Linked DNA regions of Sus scrofa. The protein of the gene in region 1 interacts with the protein of each later gene in a pairwise test. Links are inferred from orthologs where the notes say so. Each region holds a gene or a part of one and is shown in the gene's direction. Other genes may lie near its edges.

The links.
Region 2: the proteins of ZNF24 (region 1) and CCDC130 interact in binary tests that used the Homo sapiens proteins (3 or more experiments, as listed by UniProt). The two-hybrid records come from large-scale screens. The link is inferred for Sus scrofa from reciprocal best matches to the Homo sapiens genes ZNF24 and YJU2B.

Annotation. Positions count from the first base shown.
Region 1 is NC_010448.4:119,162,578-119,169,497, reverse strand, and holds the start of ZNF24 (zinc finger protein 24), read left to right. Parts: upstream 1-2,293; 5' UTR 2,294-2,385; intron 2,386-4,243; exon of another isoform or gene 4,244-4,248; 5' UTR 4,249-4,331; coding exon 4,332-4,751; intron 4,752-4,991; coding exon 4,992-5,139; intron 5,140-6,920. UniProt on the Homo sapiens protein: Transcription factor required for myelination of differentiated oligodendrocytes. Required for the conversion of oligodendrocytes from the premyelinating to the myelinating state.
Region 2 is NC_010444.4:65,367,629-65,374,634, reverse strand, and holds the start of CCDC130 (coiled-coil domain-containing protein 130), read left to right. Parts: upstream 1-2,514; 5' UTR 2,515-2,576; intron 2,577-3,292; exon of another isoform or gene 3,293-3,336; intron 3,337-5,213; exon of another isoform or gene 5,214-5,470; 5' UTR 5,471-5,584; coding exon 5,585-5,587; intron 5,588-7,006. UniProt on the Homo sapiens protein: May be involved in mRNA splicing.

The DNA of each region.
Region 1 (6,920 bases):
ACAAAAGGCAGGCAGAGAACATGAGGAGGAGGGGGGAACAGACCACAGGGTTTTGCTCTTTTCAACCCGAGCTGTAAAACCCCTTGTTGCTGAGGTGCGAATGCCACTGCATCTAAGCCTTTATATAGTCTGCAGCTGGACTCCAGGCAGGTGAGGCAGAAAGCCTCATCACAACCTGGGGAAGCCAGGAGCAATGGTTCCACGACAGCCTCCTGGGAAGACAGGGAGCTGAGTGGCAAATGGCCTTGTAACAGCTCATCAGGAGCCTCTCCTCTTTCAGGAGGATCACAGGGTTTTCTGCCAAGACTCAGAGCAGCTGCTGCTCAAGCATTGTCTCTGTGGCCTCTGTGGATATGTGCAAGGTCAGCAGGCACTGGCACGGAGGTTTTCCCTACATTCAGGTTGCCCAGAGGAACATGATGCTCTATCTTGACTATATCTTTAAGATAGCAACAGAGGTCACCATTCAGGAAAGAGCTCACCTAGTAGGGCTCAGAAGGATGGTGTTTCAAAGTGGGTGTTGGCAGTCCCGGCCCTCAAACGAGCAAATTAGAGAGGAAAACTTCATGGTGGTTTCCATTTACTCTCTCAGAAAAAAATTAAAAGTGACAGAATGAACACCAGGCAAAGAGTTTCGTAAAATCTTGCATTTTTAACCTCCCCAGATATGTCTGTTTGATGTGTATATTTTTTGTTTTCCAACATTAATTAGATGTTAAAAAACCTCTTAAAGCAAAGCAAAACAAAAATGCCTTGAGCTAGCTTTTAGAGTCACAAAAGACGGAAAGGTTGGGAAGAGCAGCCAAGCAGGTTGGTGGTAGTAGCCAAGTAGAAAAGAGAAAAAAAAAAAAAGTCTGGATTTCAGAAACCTCCTAAAAAAGAAAGAGAAGAAGGGCCATCAGAAGTAGCAGGTGTTCTGGGGAGGCAAAATCCTGGTCAGAGAGTAAAGTAGTGCTATGGGATCATCAGCTGACTCACTTGCGCTCTCATTCATGAATTCAGCAGAGCCTAAGGGCACTTTGCAAAGGGCACTCTGAAAGAGGCAGAAAGCTGAAGCCTGAAGATCTTGGAAGGCTGCTGGAAGGCTGGACCTGTACTTCTAACATAGACCTTAAACAACAGGGCTCTTTTGTGTGGTTCCTGATGCTGAACATGTGACCTAGCAAAGGCAGCAATGTGACCAGCCCACATTTCATTCATTTATTCAACAAATATTTATTGAGTTCTCTATGTACCAGGCAGTCAGCATCCCGGGACTACATGGGAATACTGTGGTGAACAAGACAGGCAAGGTCCCTGCCCTTATGGGACTTACAAACAAAACGAAATAAAACAAAAACCAGTGAAATGAATACATAAGATCACTTCTACCCAGTGCTATGAGCGTGAGAAGGCTTCCAGGAGGAAGAAATGGTCAGGAAGGCTGACGATTGCCAGCCACAACAAGGCTAAGAGCTGGGGTGTGGGGGTAAGGTGGGGGCAGGGAAAAACCACAGGGGGCCTTACAGGCCAATGTAAGCAGTTTTTAATGTCATAATTAATGCAGTAGGGATCCACTGAAGGCCTTTAAGTAGGGGCATTAAGTGGTCTGATTTATGTTTTTAAATCACTTTGGCAGCTGTTTTGTAGTATGAAATGTCAAGCCTAAAGTCAGAAGATAACCATGCATTCTGCAAATTCACTCTGCGATCATTGCCAAAGCTCTTGATTAAGAGTCTCATCTTGTTTCCCTGACAAATTAATTAGTCATAATAAAGCTCTATAGCACAGCAAATGGTAGCCAAAGGTTAGAGTCATGCCTTGGCTTCAAATCTTGCTTCGTACTTACTAGTTATGTATTCTCCGCAAGCTATTTACTTGAGCCTCAATTACCTCAGCTGTGAAATGGGGATAATAAAAGTTCTTACATCATAGGGTTTTCACGAAAATTAAATTACAAGACATGTAAACCACGGTGACAGAACCTGGTACAACGTGGTTAGCACACATAAATATTAGCTTTTGTTACTTCTTTCAGAGGATTACTGTGAAGATCACATGAGATAATGCATGTGAAAAGACTTATGACACCGTAAAGACTACATTAGTGGCAGAATTTTTTCTTTCCTTTCCTGGTCTTTTAAGGGGAACACAGAAGACTGGGCTAACCAGGGGAGAGAGGCGTGAGGCCAAGCGCAGCCTCAAAGCGGTCATTGTAGTTGGACAGCCCTTCCCCCAGCCCGGAGCGCATCTCTATGGCAACGCGGGGCTTCGCCTACCCCCCGCCTCCTGGGGCCCACAGACCGGAAGCAGTCTGCGCCGGGGGCTTCTGGGAAACGGCTTGTGAGCGGCGGCGTTTCTGCGTCGGCCGTGGACAGCGAAGCGGTTGCAGTTCCCGAGCTTGAGGTTTGCGCGAGAGAGGGGGGAAGAGCGTGCGAGGGAGGCTGGGCTAGAGGCTGTGGTCCGCTTGGCAAGAGTTAGCGAAAAAGCTTGGCGGTGACCTTCCTTGGCTTCCCGGGAGGCGCGGGGGACAGGCCACGGTCTCAGCGCCCAGCAGCTGGGAGACAGGGAGGGATAGACAGAAAGCCAGATAGGGCTTTCGGCACCCTTGGAGAGTCCTCCCTTCCTTGTGCCTTCCGCGACCCCCGCCTTCCCCCCTCCCCCATCGGCCGGTTTTGTTCTATTTCGAGGCCCTGGCATCTCGCGGAGGGTTCTGGGATTCTTTTCGGGTGGAGGGGGGTGGGCGGTCCTCCGCCGTGGCTGCCGGGACTTGTAGTTTGGCCGGCCTCGAGCGGAAGTGCCGTGACTCCGGCGCTGTTGAGGCTAGGTGGCCTCTGGTCTTCCGAAAGCCGCAGCCGGGAGTGTGGAGAGAAGAGGGGCTGGAGTGGTCTGGTGGGGGCCGGGTTCGCCACGGCACTCCGCTGAGTGAGTGGGAAGGTCGCGTGGGACAGGACTCCCTGCGCAAACCTGGTTGGGACTGCGGGTTCGCATTCCCCGCACCTCCTCACGTCCCATCGGCAGGGTGCTGTATGAAAACGTAAAGGGGAGAGAAATTTTATTTTTCTAGAGTGTTTGAGCCAATGGTAAGGTAGGGTTTTGGAATAGGAACAAACGAATACTGTTGGCTAAACCTTGTTTATAAGGCCGCCACACTCCAGAGTGCTTAAACAAACCTGTATGTATATTACTTGGTAAGATTTTTTTCTGATACCTAGACTTGATAGGTTTACAGGAAGTTTTGGGCAGTTACTGACTTTCAGATTCCGGGCCCTGAATAGATAATATTGAGTAACTGCATGGCTTGTTCCCAGTAGGTGTTTTAAACAATGGCATAGGCATGACTGTGCAAATACTAAGGAAAGGATCAGAAATAGCCCAAGGTTTCCCTGAAGGTAGAAGCTGGGGAGATTGTGAGTCATCCAGTGTAAGGATTAGAGTCTGCGCCACTGTGGGAAGTCAAGGTGTTATGAGAGTCCCTTTTCTTCATAGAATTTGCTATGATTAATGCCCACATTACAAATTGAAAGGTACTTATGGTGTCTCGGGTGACTGAATAATATTTGAATTTTATGGCACCTAGTGGTTTTTTTCAACATCATGTATCTGTTATTGAGCAGGTGAATATTTTTTTCATGTATATTTTAGTCCAGGGAGTTCTTAAACATTTTAAAACTATTTCTTAGCCCTGAAAAAAAAAAATTGTCAAAATTTTTTAAGCAGGTGCTAAAAAAGATACCCCTCCTTTTGAGGTGACTCAGGTGTGTCAGGTTACACCGGTATTGAATTGCAAATAATGTGTTCCATTTAGATAACACCGAGATAGGCAAGTTTTGTAGACATAGATTGGCATACTTCTCTCAAAAGGGCCAGATGGTAAATATTAAGTTTTTCATGACATGTAGCATTTATTGCAACTACTCAACTCTATTGAGTAGAGTACAGTAGTCACGCTGTTGTAGCATCAATAGTGAACAAATAAGTAAAATTATTTATGGAGACAGACACTTTCATTTCTATCAATATTCACCTGACATGAAGTGTTCTTTTGATTTTTTTCAACCATATAAAAATGTGAAAACTATTCTCAGTGCAAGCATTATTGAAAAATAGGCAGTGGGCCAGATTTAGCAGTGAACTGGAACTTCTGTTGTAGGCTATTGATTGGCATGTTTAATTTAGTAAAAATACATTTTCTTTTCTTCTATCAGGGTATGTTCAGATTCTTAGGATATTTGGTCATTTATATTGTTTTCATTTCTTGTGCCTCAGGAGTGCCTGTGAAGAAAACAGGGTATTTCCCTGAGGCCTGTCTCCTACCTTGATTGTCTTTTCTTGGAGTATTATAAATCAGGATGTCTGCACAGTCAGTGGAAGAAGATTCAATACTTATCATCCCAACTCCAGATGAAGAGGAAAAAATTCTGAGGGTGAAGTTGGAGGAGGATCCTGATGGCGAAGAGGGGTCAAGTATCCCTTGGAACCACCTCCCTGACCCGGAGGTTTTCCGACAGCGCTTCAGGCAGTTTGGATACCAGGATTCACCTGGGCCCCGTGAAGCTGTGAGCCAGCTTCGAGAACTTTGCCGTCTATGGCTCAGGCCAGAGACACACACAAAAGAACAAATCTTGGAGCTGGTAGTACTGGAGCAGTTTGTTGCCATCCTGCCCAAGGAGCTACAGACTTGGGTTCGAGAGCATCATCCAGAGAATGGAGAGGAGGCAGTGACCGTTCTAGAGGATTTAGAGAGTGAGCTAGATGACCCTGGACAGCCGGTAAGCCCGCTTGTGTTGCATTCCTGGGTCAGGAGCCCTGACATGGCAGTAGGCGCAGCTGCTGATTTAATGCCACTCAGCTAAGTTAGAATTCTGTTTATGCCTCCACCTGCCCCCCATTATTTATGCTGCTTTGTCATCTAGGCCTCTGCAGCATATGTTTCGTGTGGTTGCTTTTGTGTGTGTGTTTTTGATTCTCAACAGATTCCTTCTCATTTGAACCAGTCCTGTTATTTCCAGGTTTCTCTTCGGCGACGAAAACGGGACGTGCTAGTAGAGGAGATTGTATCTCAAGAAGAAGCTCAGGGATTACCAAGTTCTGAGCTTGATGCTGTGGAAAACCAGCTCAAGTGGGCATCCTGGGAGCTCCACTCCTTAAGGCACTGTGGTGAGGACCTCCTTGTGGGCTGGAGGGTGAAAGGGAGTGGGGCCTTTGGTCCAGAACTCTGCTTATTCTTATGGGGATGGGAGGATAATCACCTTAACCTGATGGTTTAGACATAGACACACTATAGGACTGATTCTTTTCTAATAGCAGTTGGTTTTCTTACCTTAGTCTTTAATTCCTCAACATTAACATCATCATCAGCCTTTTTCTCTTCTCCCTGTTTCTTTGAAGACCCGCCCATTTCAGGCTAACATTTGCCTTACTCTGAGCCAGCACCCACCTGTAGACCAGATCTTTCCATTTTGCATGCAGTATTGCTTTTTTTTGCCGTCTGTTTCACATCCTTTCACTCTCCTGCCTAGTCCTCCTGATAACTTCTTCAAATCTAATTTTTTGGTTTGTTGTTTATCACTAAGGTTTTTTTCTGAATTTTTAGTTTTTGGGTTTTTTTCCCCCCAAATCCTATCTGGAGTCATTTTTTTTCCCCTAAGAAGCTTCTTTTGTAGAAATGATGCCTGGGTAGAATTCTTCACCTGTTCTAAATATTTAAACGAAAAATTGCCTTCCAGCTATAATATGCTTTAAGTACAGAAAAATTAAATAGAAAGGTCATAATTCGTCGAGGCTAGTCTTTCCCAATATCTTGGCAGTTAATGCCACATACTTATTTATTTTTGACACAACCCCATATATTCCTAAAACTGCTGGATTTCTTTTTCATAATTACATAAATTAAAATGAAATTTTGTTTGAGACTATTTGGGAATCATTCCCTGAGGAGACAATGCTAGCATGCCTCAGAGTGAGCTCTGAGTAGGCTCATCTCTGAGGGGCACAGTGCTTGGGAATCAGAACTTCTGAGGTGGGGCTGAAGTTTGCTGAGAATCTGCAGTTTTACATCTTCTATGGGACATTCTTCTGTGCAGTCTAGTTTAGGAATTGCTCTCCTTGGATGTTGGAGGTGGCATCTTCCTAGGTGGAAAACTTCTCCCCTGCCTGAACTTTAGAAAAATTCCCAGTTTCATTTATGGCTCATTTGGTGAAGAAGCCAACTAATATCCTCGAGGATGCAGGTTTGATCCCTGGCCTCACTCAGTGGATTAAGGATCCAGCGTTGCCTTGGCTGTGGTGTAGGCCGGCAGTTGCAGTTGTGGTTGTGATTTGATCCTTAGCCTGAGAATTTCCATATCTGCAGATGTGGCCATTTAAAATAATAGTAATAATAATTCCCACCTCTTTTTAAATAGCCTCGCTTTAGCTGTCTGGTCTCTACCACACTTGGGAGCTCAATTCTCTCTCTGAAGACCTCCATTCAAGGTCTTCAGACCTCACTAATTCCCTGTAACTCCTCATTGTCTCTCTCAGCCTTCTTTCCTGACTATCCCTTTCTCCCTCCCTCCCTTCCTCCCTTTCTTTTTTTTTGCCACCCTAAGCAGCATGCCGAAGTTCCTGGGCCCCTGATCATCCCTTTCCTAATCATTTATTATAGACTTGCTTACTGTTGACAACTTTTCTGAGCATTGCTGCTCACCCTTTAGTAACTGTTTATTCTTCAAAGCTTGAAGTTTCAGGAAAGTCATACCAGTGCCTGCCTACAGGTGGTGATGGTACCTCAGGGTGGTAATTTAGGCTGTTCTTTCACTGGACACAACTAGCTGAGGCTTAGAAGTAATAGTTCATCTTGAGTACATGACAAATACCAAATTTGGCAAGCTGCTTTTACAGGAAGACATTTGGTTATTAAAGGTGCATTGAATTTGTACCTGTCTTGTCCTGAATTA
Region 2 (7,006 bases), on another chromosome or scaffold:
GCAGCCATAACTGCAGGAATGCCAGATCCTTAACCCACTGTGCCACCTGGGGACATCTGGGTTTCAGTTTTAGAGTTTACTTCCTCTTCAGTCATTCTTCTCCTATCCCCAAAAGCCACACCATGATCTTGGAACGCCCTTCCTGGCCCAAGGTTTCTCTCTTCCCATTCCATCTGTTTTACAAATACATTTGTAGGCATGTTTTCATTCCCATGGGCAAAAGAAAGATATCCCTCTTTACAGATGAGCAAACAGAGGTGAGGTGATTTGGTCAGTGTCTCCAGAGATAGAGTCCAGGTCCCTTCCTGCCACTCTGCCCAGCCTGGTTCATTGCCCTCCTGGCTAATTCCCCACAGGAACTGGCTTGCTCTTGGCATCTTCATAGATGGTCTCTTCATAGCTCAGGCTGATGTTTGTTCCCATCACCTGCCCTGTGAGTAATAAGAGTGAGGCTCTTACTACTTGTCCCTTGAAAGCCAAGGGTTCTCAGACTTCTCCTCCCCAAAACATTACTCACAAGGTGGTATTTTGTAGTTCTTCAGTCACTAGCTCTTCTTTCAGTTGCAGGATAAGGACTCGAGCAAAACCCAGATGAAGCAAGCAAGATGAATGAGGGTGAGTGCAGATCCCAGCTTGTTCCTCAGAACCTGTGGGCATTCCTCTGGCTTGCCTCCCACCCCTGCCTTGCTCTGCCTCATCCAGCCCAAGAGTCACCCCTCACAAGGGTCTTGCTGACCCTCACTCCTTGACCACTCCCCAAAACACCACCCTTGTTAAAGATTCTTACCAAAAAAAAAAAAAAAAAAAAAGGAGTTCCCATTGTGGCACAGTGGTTACGGGTTCGATCCCTGGACTTTCTCAGTGGGTTAAAGATCTGGTGTTGCCGTGAGCTGTGGTGTAGGTTGCAGATGCGGCTCGGATCCCGCGTTGCTGTGGCTCTGGTGTAGCCTGGCGGCAACAGCTCTGATTAGACCCCTAACCTGGGAACCTCCATATGCTGTGGGAGTGGCCCTAGAAAAGACCAAAAAAAAAAAAAGATTCTTCCTGGTTCCCACAGCCCTTATGTTTAATGCATACAACCCAAAGCAGCGTAGATCAGATGTTACGGGAACAAAGTTTTGCATCAGTGGATGGAGGTCAAATCCTCCACTCTCAATAGCTGTGTGACCTTGGATCATTTGCTTGACCTCTCTGAGCCTATCTCATCAGTAAAATGGAATGCTGGAGTATATCCTTCTCCTAGGAACAGCGTTCTGTGAGACAATGCATGTGAGTAGTGAGCACTGGTTAATGACGCCTGGTGAGTAGTGAGCACTCCATATGCAGCACCATGATTACAGGAGAACTGACAATCTTATTAGGGCCTGGCACCGAATAATATAGTAATAGTAACAACAGTAGTAGTATTGTCATCATTTCTCACACTGTCCTTGATAAATTGCCAGTTCACCGCCTGCCTCATCAGTGAAAAAAAGAGTATATCCTTTGCTCTTGAATTTCTGTGGCCTAACATATAGCAGGCACCTAGTAAACAGCTGTTGAAGAACAAATGATGAAACAGATTCTGTTTGATTCTACAAAGCACAGAATCAAAAGCCACTGCCCTGTTCACAACCAAGCTGGTCTGAAGGCTCTAAGGCAAGAGGTGATCCACTTCTGAAAAAGGACAGATAGTATATTTTTAGGCTCCATGGGACATAGGCTCTCTGTTGCAACCATTCAACTCTGTCATTGAGTGGAAAAGCAGCCATAGACATAAACAATTGGCACAGGTGTATTTCAATAAAATCTTAATACAGGCACTAAAATTTGAACTTATCATTTTCACAAACTCATGTTATTCTTTTCGTTTTCCCCCAAACCATTTAAAAATGGGAAAACAAGTCTTAACTCGCTAGTCACTAAAAAACTAAGGGCCAGGAGTTCCCGTCGTGGCGCAGTGGTTAACGAATCCGACTAGGAACCATGAGGTTGCGGGTTCGGTCCCTGCCCTTGCTGGGTGGGTTAAGGATCTGGCATTGCCGTGAGCTGTGGTGTAGGTTGCAGACGCGGCTCGGATCCCGCGTTGCTGTGGCTCTGGCGCAGGCCGGTGGCTACAGCTCCGATTCGACCCCTAGCCTGGGAACTTCCATATGCCGTGGGAGCGGCCCCAAAGAAATAGCAAAAAGACAAAAAAAAAAAAAAAAAAAAAAAAAAAAAAAAAAAACTAAGGGCTGGATTGATTTAGAGGGAAGCTGGAGTTCACCCACTCCAACTCCACCGCCTCTTCTATTGCGAACCGCGCGCCCGGGAGAGCGCTGTCAGAAAGGCGGGCCTTGGATTGCGTCAGGGAAAGTGGGCGGGGCCGAAGGTGGGGCTTCGTGTAGGGCGCGAATTTGGGAAGGGCAGGCCCCGGATTGGTCCACTCCGGCGGCTGAAAGGGAGAGGCTGTTCAACACTTAGCCAATCAGCGAGGACCTGCCGCCTCGCCCCGCCTCGCGCAGGCGTCCCTGTCGCGCGAGGAGTTCACCACTCCCCCTTATGCACTGAGCAGGGACTTCCGGGACGGGCGCGGCGTGACGTCAGGAGGAGGGCAGGTAAGTGCGGTAGGACGGAGGGGCGGGCAGGCCCGGTAAGGGCCGGGGGTCTGTCCTTTCATTCGGTCTCGGAGCAGCGGAGTTGGGGCCATCCTGCGGGGAGCAGAGGGGCTCTGCGAACGTGGACCCAGTACTCGAAACCGGCCCGCGTCCCAGACTCGACCCCTGACCCTGGGCCCTGGCCGCGACCCCAGACCCAAATCCGAGCCTGGCCCGTATTATACCTAGTCAGGTTTTCCTCATCGGGAAAATGGGACAGTAAGCCCCTACCTCCCTGGGCCATGATGAAGATTTTGTAAAATGATGCTTGTTAAACGATTTGGTGTGAGAAATAATCAAAACTACCAACGTTTAATTTGGCGTGAGGAGCTCTTTTAAGTACTTTATTTAACTTACTGAGTCTTGACGGCAGCCTTATCAAGTTGATATTTTTATAAACCCCATTTTGCAAATGAGAAAACTGAGGCTCAGAGAGAGAGAAGCAGTTTGCCCCAAGTTAAGCCCCTAGCAAGCAGCAGAGTCAGCATCCAAGCCCAAACACTATGCCCTGAGCCAATGGGCTTATTGGGCTTATTCTTTCACCAAGGACCAGAGATTTCTATACATCCAGGCAATGGTCCCACTTGTACCACTCGCTGGGGTAATAAAACCATCGAAAACTCCTGAAATGGAGAACTTATCTGTGCAATCACTACCCGTTGTTATTTCATTTACAGCAACTCCAGAAAGTCAGTCCTCTTGCTGTTATCCCTCTTTGCAGGTGAGGAAATACAAGCTCAGGGAGGCTCAGACTTGGGCTGAGGTTACCCAGCCAGTGAGGAGTGGAGCTGGGATTTAAGCCCAGGGAATTGTGCCCCCAGAACCTGGGTGGGCACTTAGCTCTTTTGTTGGCAAAAACAGTTTTAGTTTGTGGAGTTGCCATCATGGCTCAGCAGTAACAATCCTGATTAGTATCCATGAAGACACAGGTTTGATCCTTGCCCTTGCTTGGTGGGCTAAAGGACCTGGCATTGCCGTGAGCTGTGGTGTACGTCACAGACATGGCTCTGATGCCAAGTTGCTGTAACTATAGCATTGGCCACCAGATGCAGCTCCAATTTGACCCCTAGCCTGGGAACTCCCATATGCCATGGGTGAGGCCCTAAAAAAGACAAAAAAAAAAAAAAAAAATGCATTTTCAGTTTGGGAGTGACTTTAGGAAAATCTGGTACAGGGGCACACTTTCCAGATAGAGGGTCCAAGGTGGAGAGAGTTTCCAGGGGATGGTGGAACACTTTATAACCGGGGCTTTGCACCCTGGCGCTCGCTGGTTTCCCATCAGCTTCTGACTCTGGGCAAGCTCCCACATCCTCATTCATCAACTGGAGAAAATAGTAACATAATACAGAGTAAACAAGGCAGTGATGTCAGACTCAGTGCAGCATGTGTCCCACAGAAACTGTTAGAGAGCCCACAGCTGAATTGGCAGAAACAAGTAGATACTTCCTGACTCCAGTGCATTAGGCAGCAAACTATACCCACAGGCCAAAGTCAGGACACTGCCTGATTTTGTGCAGCCTCCCACCAAAGAATGGTTTTAACTTGTTATGGTTGGGGAAAAAAATAAAGGAGTTCCCATTATGGCTCAGTGGGTTACGAACCCAACTAGTATCCAGGAGGATGCAGCTTCCATCTGGCCTCATTCAGCACTACCATGAGTCATAGTGTATGTCGAAGATGTGGCCTGGATCTGGTGTTGCTGTGACTGTGGTGTAGGCCAGCAGCTGCAGCTGCTCTAATTTGACCCCTAGTCTGGGAACCTCCATGTGCCACAAGTGCAGCCCTGGAAAGCCAAAAAAAAAAAAAAAAAAAAAAATCAAAAAGAGAGTAATATTTTGTGACAATCATGTAAAATTCAAATTTCAGTGTCCATAGTTTTTGTGGGGATGTGGCCACACCCATTCATTTGCATATCATCCATGGCTATTTTCTAGCTATGACCAGAGTTGAGTCGTTGGAACAGATATTCTGGCCCTTGATGGAGAATATGTGCCAATCCCTATTCTGGAATACACTTGAGTCCCTCAGTGTCTTTCTTTAGTGTCAATTGAACTTCTTTTTATTTGACCTGAAAGTCTCCCCTCCAAATGGGCAGGGAGGGTGGATGTCTCCCCACCCCCAGTTAAAGGAGGCCTGCACTTGGTAACTGTGTCACCCACACTGATTCTTAGGGAACCTCAGTCAGTTAGCAGTGGTTCTTGAAGACAGCATTTATTAGGAGATGTCTTGGGTGCCGGAGATGAAGCAGTGTGACCTGGTGGAGGGCTTATCTGTCTGGTCACAGTCTATAGACTACAGACAAGTAAGAAGACAGGGTGATATGACTTCAGATCAGTTGGTCAGTTGAAGCTTCTCATAAAGGTGATGTTTGAGCTGAGACAATTCTGAGGTAGTGGGCCTGCACCTGCTGAGCCTTTGAAGGTAGCCAGTAAGTCAGCATGACTGGAACAGAGTGAACGAGGGAGAGGGGTAAGAGGTGGGCTTGGAGAGGCAAGCAGGGGCCCCACAGACCATGGGAAGGATTTGGTTTGATTCTCAAAACCATAGGAATCACTGGAGGGCTTTAAGCAGGAGCTGATATTTCTGATTTATATTAAGAGATCCTTCCGGACCCTATGAGAAGACCAGACCTTGAGAGTCAAGGGCAGAGCCAAGAGCCCAGGGAGGAGATGACCCATACCAGTCCAGGAGAGTAATGATGGCGGCCTTGGAGGGGCGTGAAGTGTCAGCTGGGAAATATATGTTGGTGGACAGGACACTCCCTTTCCAAACGCTGCTCCTTGGGTGCCTCCTACGCCTGGGGGGAGGGTGCGCCAAGCCTCCACCACCACACACAGCCCACCCCATCTTCACAGGGAAGCTGTGGACCACCTGCCAGGCCCTCCAGGATCAACACTGCACCATCAGTGTCACATCGTCTTTTCACATTGGCCGTGTCGAAGGCAAGGAGCAAGTAGGCAGTTCCCAGGATGGTGAGTAGACAGGCTGTGCCCATCGGGTTTCTCTTGTGGTCTTTAGGTGAAGGGCAGAGGTCCCCAGAGCAGCTCCTTCTACCTCCTGAAAGTCTACTCTCCATCCTTCCCCCAACTCCAAGCTCTAAGGTATTTTCCAACTCCGGATCCTGTTCTTTTAGTACAGTGGGTCTCAAACTCTGCTGAAAATCACCCAGGGAGCTGTTGCTTTTCCCTTTCTTTCTTTCTTTAAAAAATGACGTGAAATTCACCTAACATAAAATTAACAAATTAAAGTATATGATTGGGGGAGTTCCCGTTGTGGTTTAACGGTAACAAACCCAGCTAGTGTCCATGAGGATGCGGATTTGATCCCTGGCCTTGCTCAGTGGATTAAGGATCTGGCATTGCCATGAGCTGGGGTGTAGGTCACAGACACAGCTCAGATCCCATGTTGCTGTGGCTGTGGCATAGGCCAGCAGCTGTAGCTCCGATTCAACCCCTAGCCTGGGAACTTCCATGTGCTGCAGGTGAGGCCCTAAAAAGCAAAACAAAAAATATATATATATTTTTTTTAAATAAAGTGTATGATTGGGGAGTTCCTATTATGGCTCAGAGAGTTAAGAACATGACTAGTATCCATGAAGATGCAGGTTTGATCCCTGCCCCTGCTGAGTGGGTTAAGGATCTGGCATTGCCACAAGCTGTGGCACAGGTCACAGACGAGGCTCAAATCCACTGTGGCCGTGGCGCAGGCTGGCAGCTGCAGCTCCAATTCAATCCCCCTAGCCCAGGAACTTCCATGAGCTACAGGTGCGGCCCTAAAAAAATAAAAAAAAAACAAAGTGTACAATTCAGTGGCATTTAGTAACATTCACCACATTGTGCAACTACCTCTATCTAGTTCTAAAACCTTTTTTGTCACCCGGAAGAAAACCATAGAACCAATAGCAGTCACTCCCCCAACCCTCAGCCCTTGGCAACCACCAGTCTGCTTTCTGTCTCTGTGGATTTGCCTGTTCTGGGCATTTCACATCAATGGAGTCATGTACCATGTGTCCTTTTGTGTCCAGCTTCTCGCACTTAGCATGATGTCCACATGGTAGCACATGTCAGAGATTCATTCCTTTTGATGCCTGAATAATATCCCACTATATGGATGGACCATGTTTTGTTTATCCAGTCACCCATTGATGGACACTTAGGTTTTTTCCACCATTTGGCTGTTGTGAATGAACATGCTCAGACAAGGATGCGTCTAAACACGTGTCTTCCATGTTGCCTTTGAAAAGCCCTGTGCCCAGGCACCAGGTCCCAGAGCAGGTCCTCTGTCAGGAGAACCCCTGAGGATGGGTTCCTGGCATCCGTAGTTTAGAAACTCTTGGTCGTAACACACAGCCAAGTTTAAGACCCACTGCTTTGGTGGATCGTTAAGTCAGT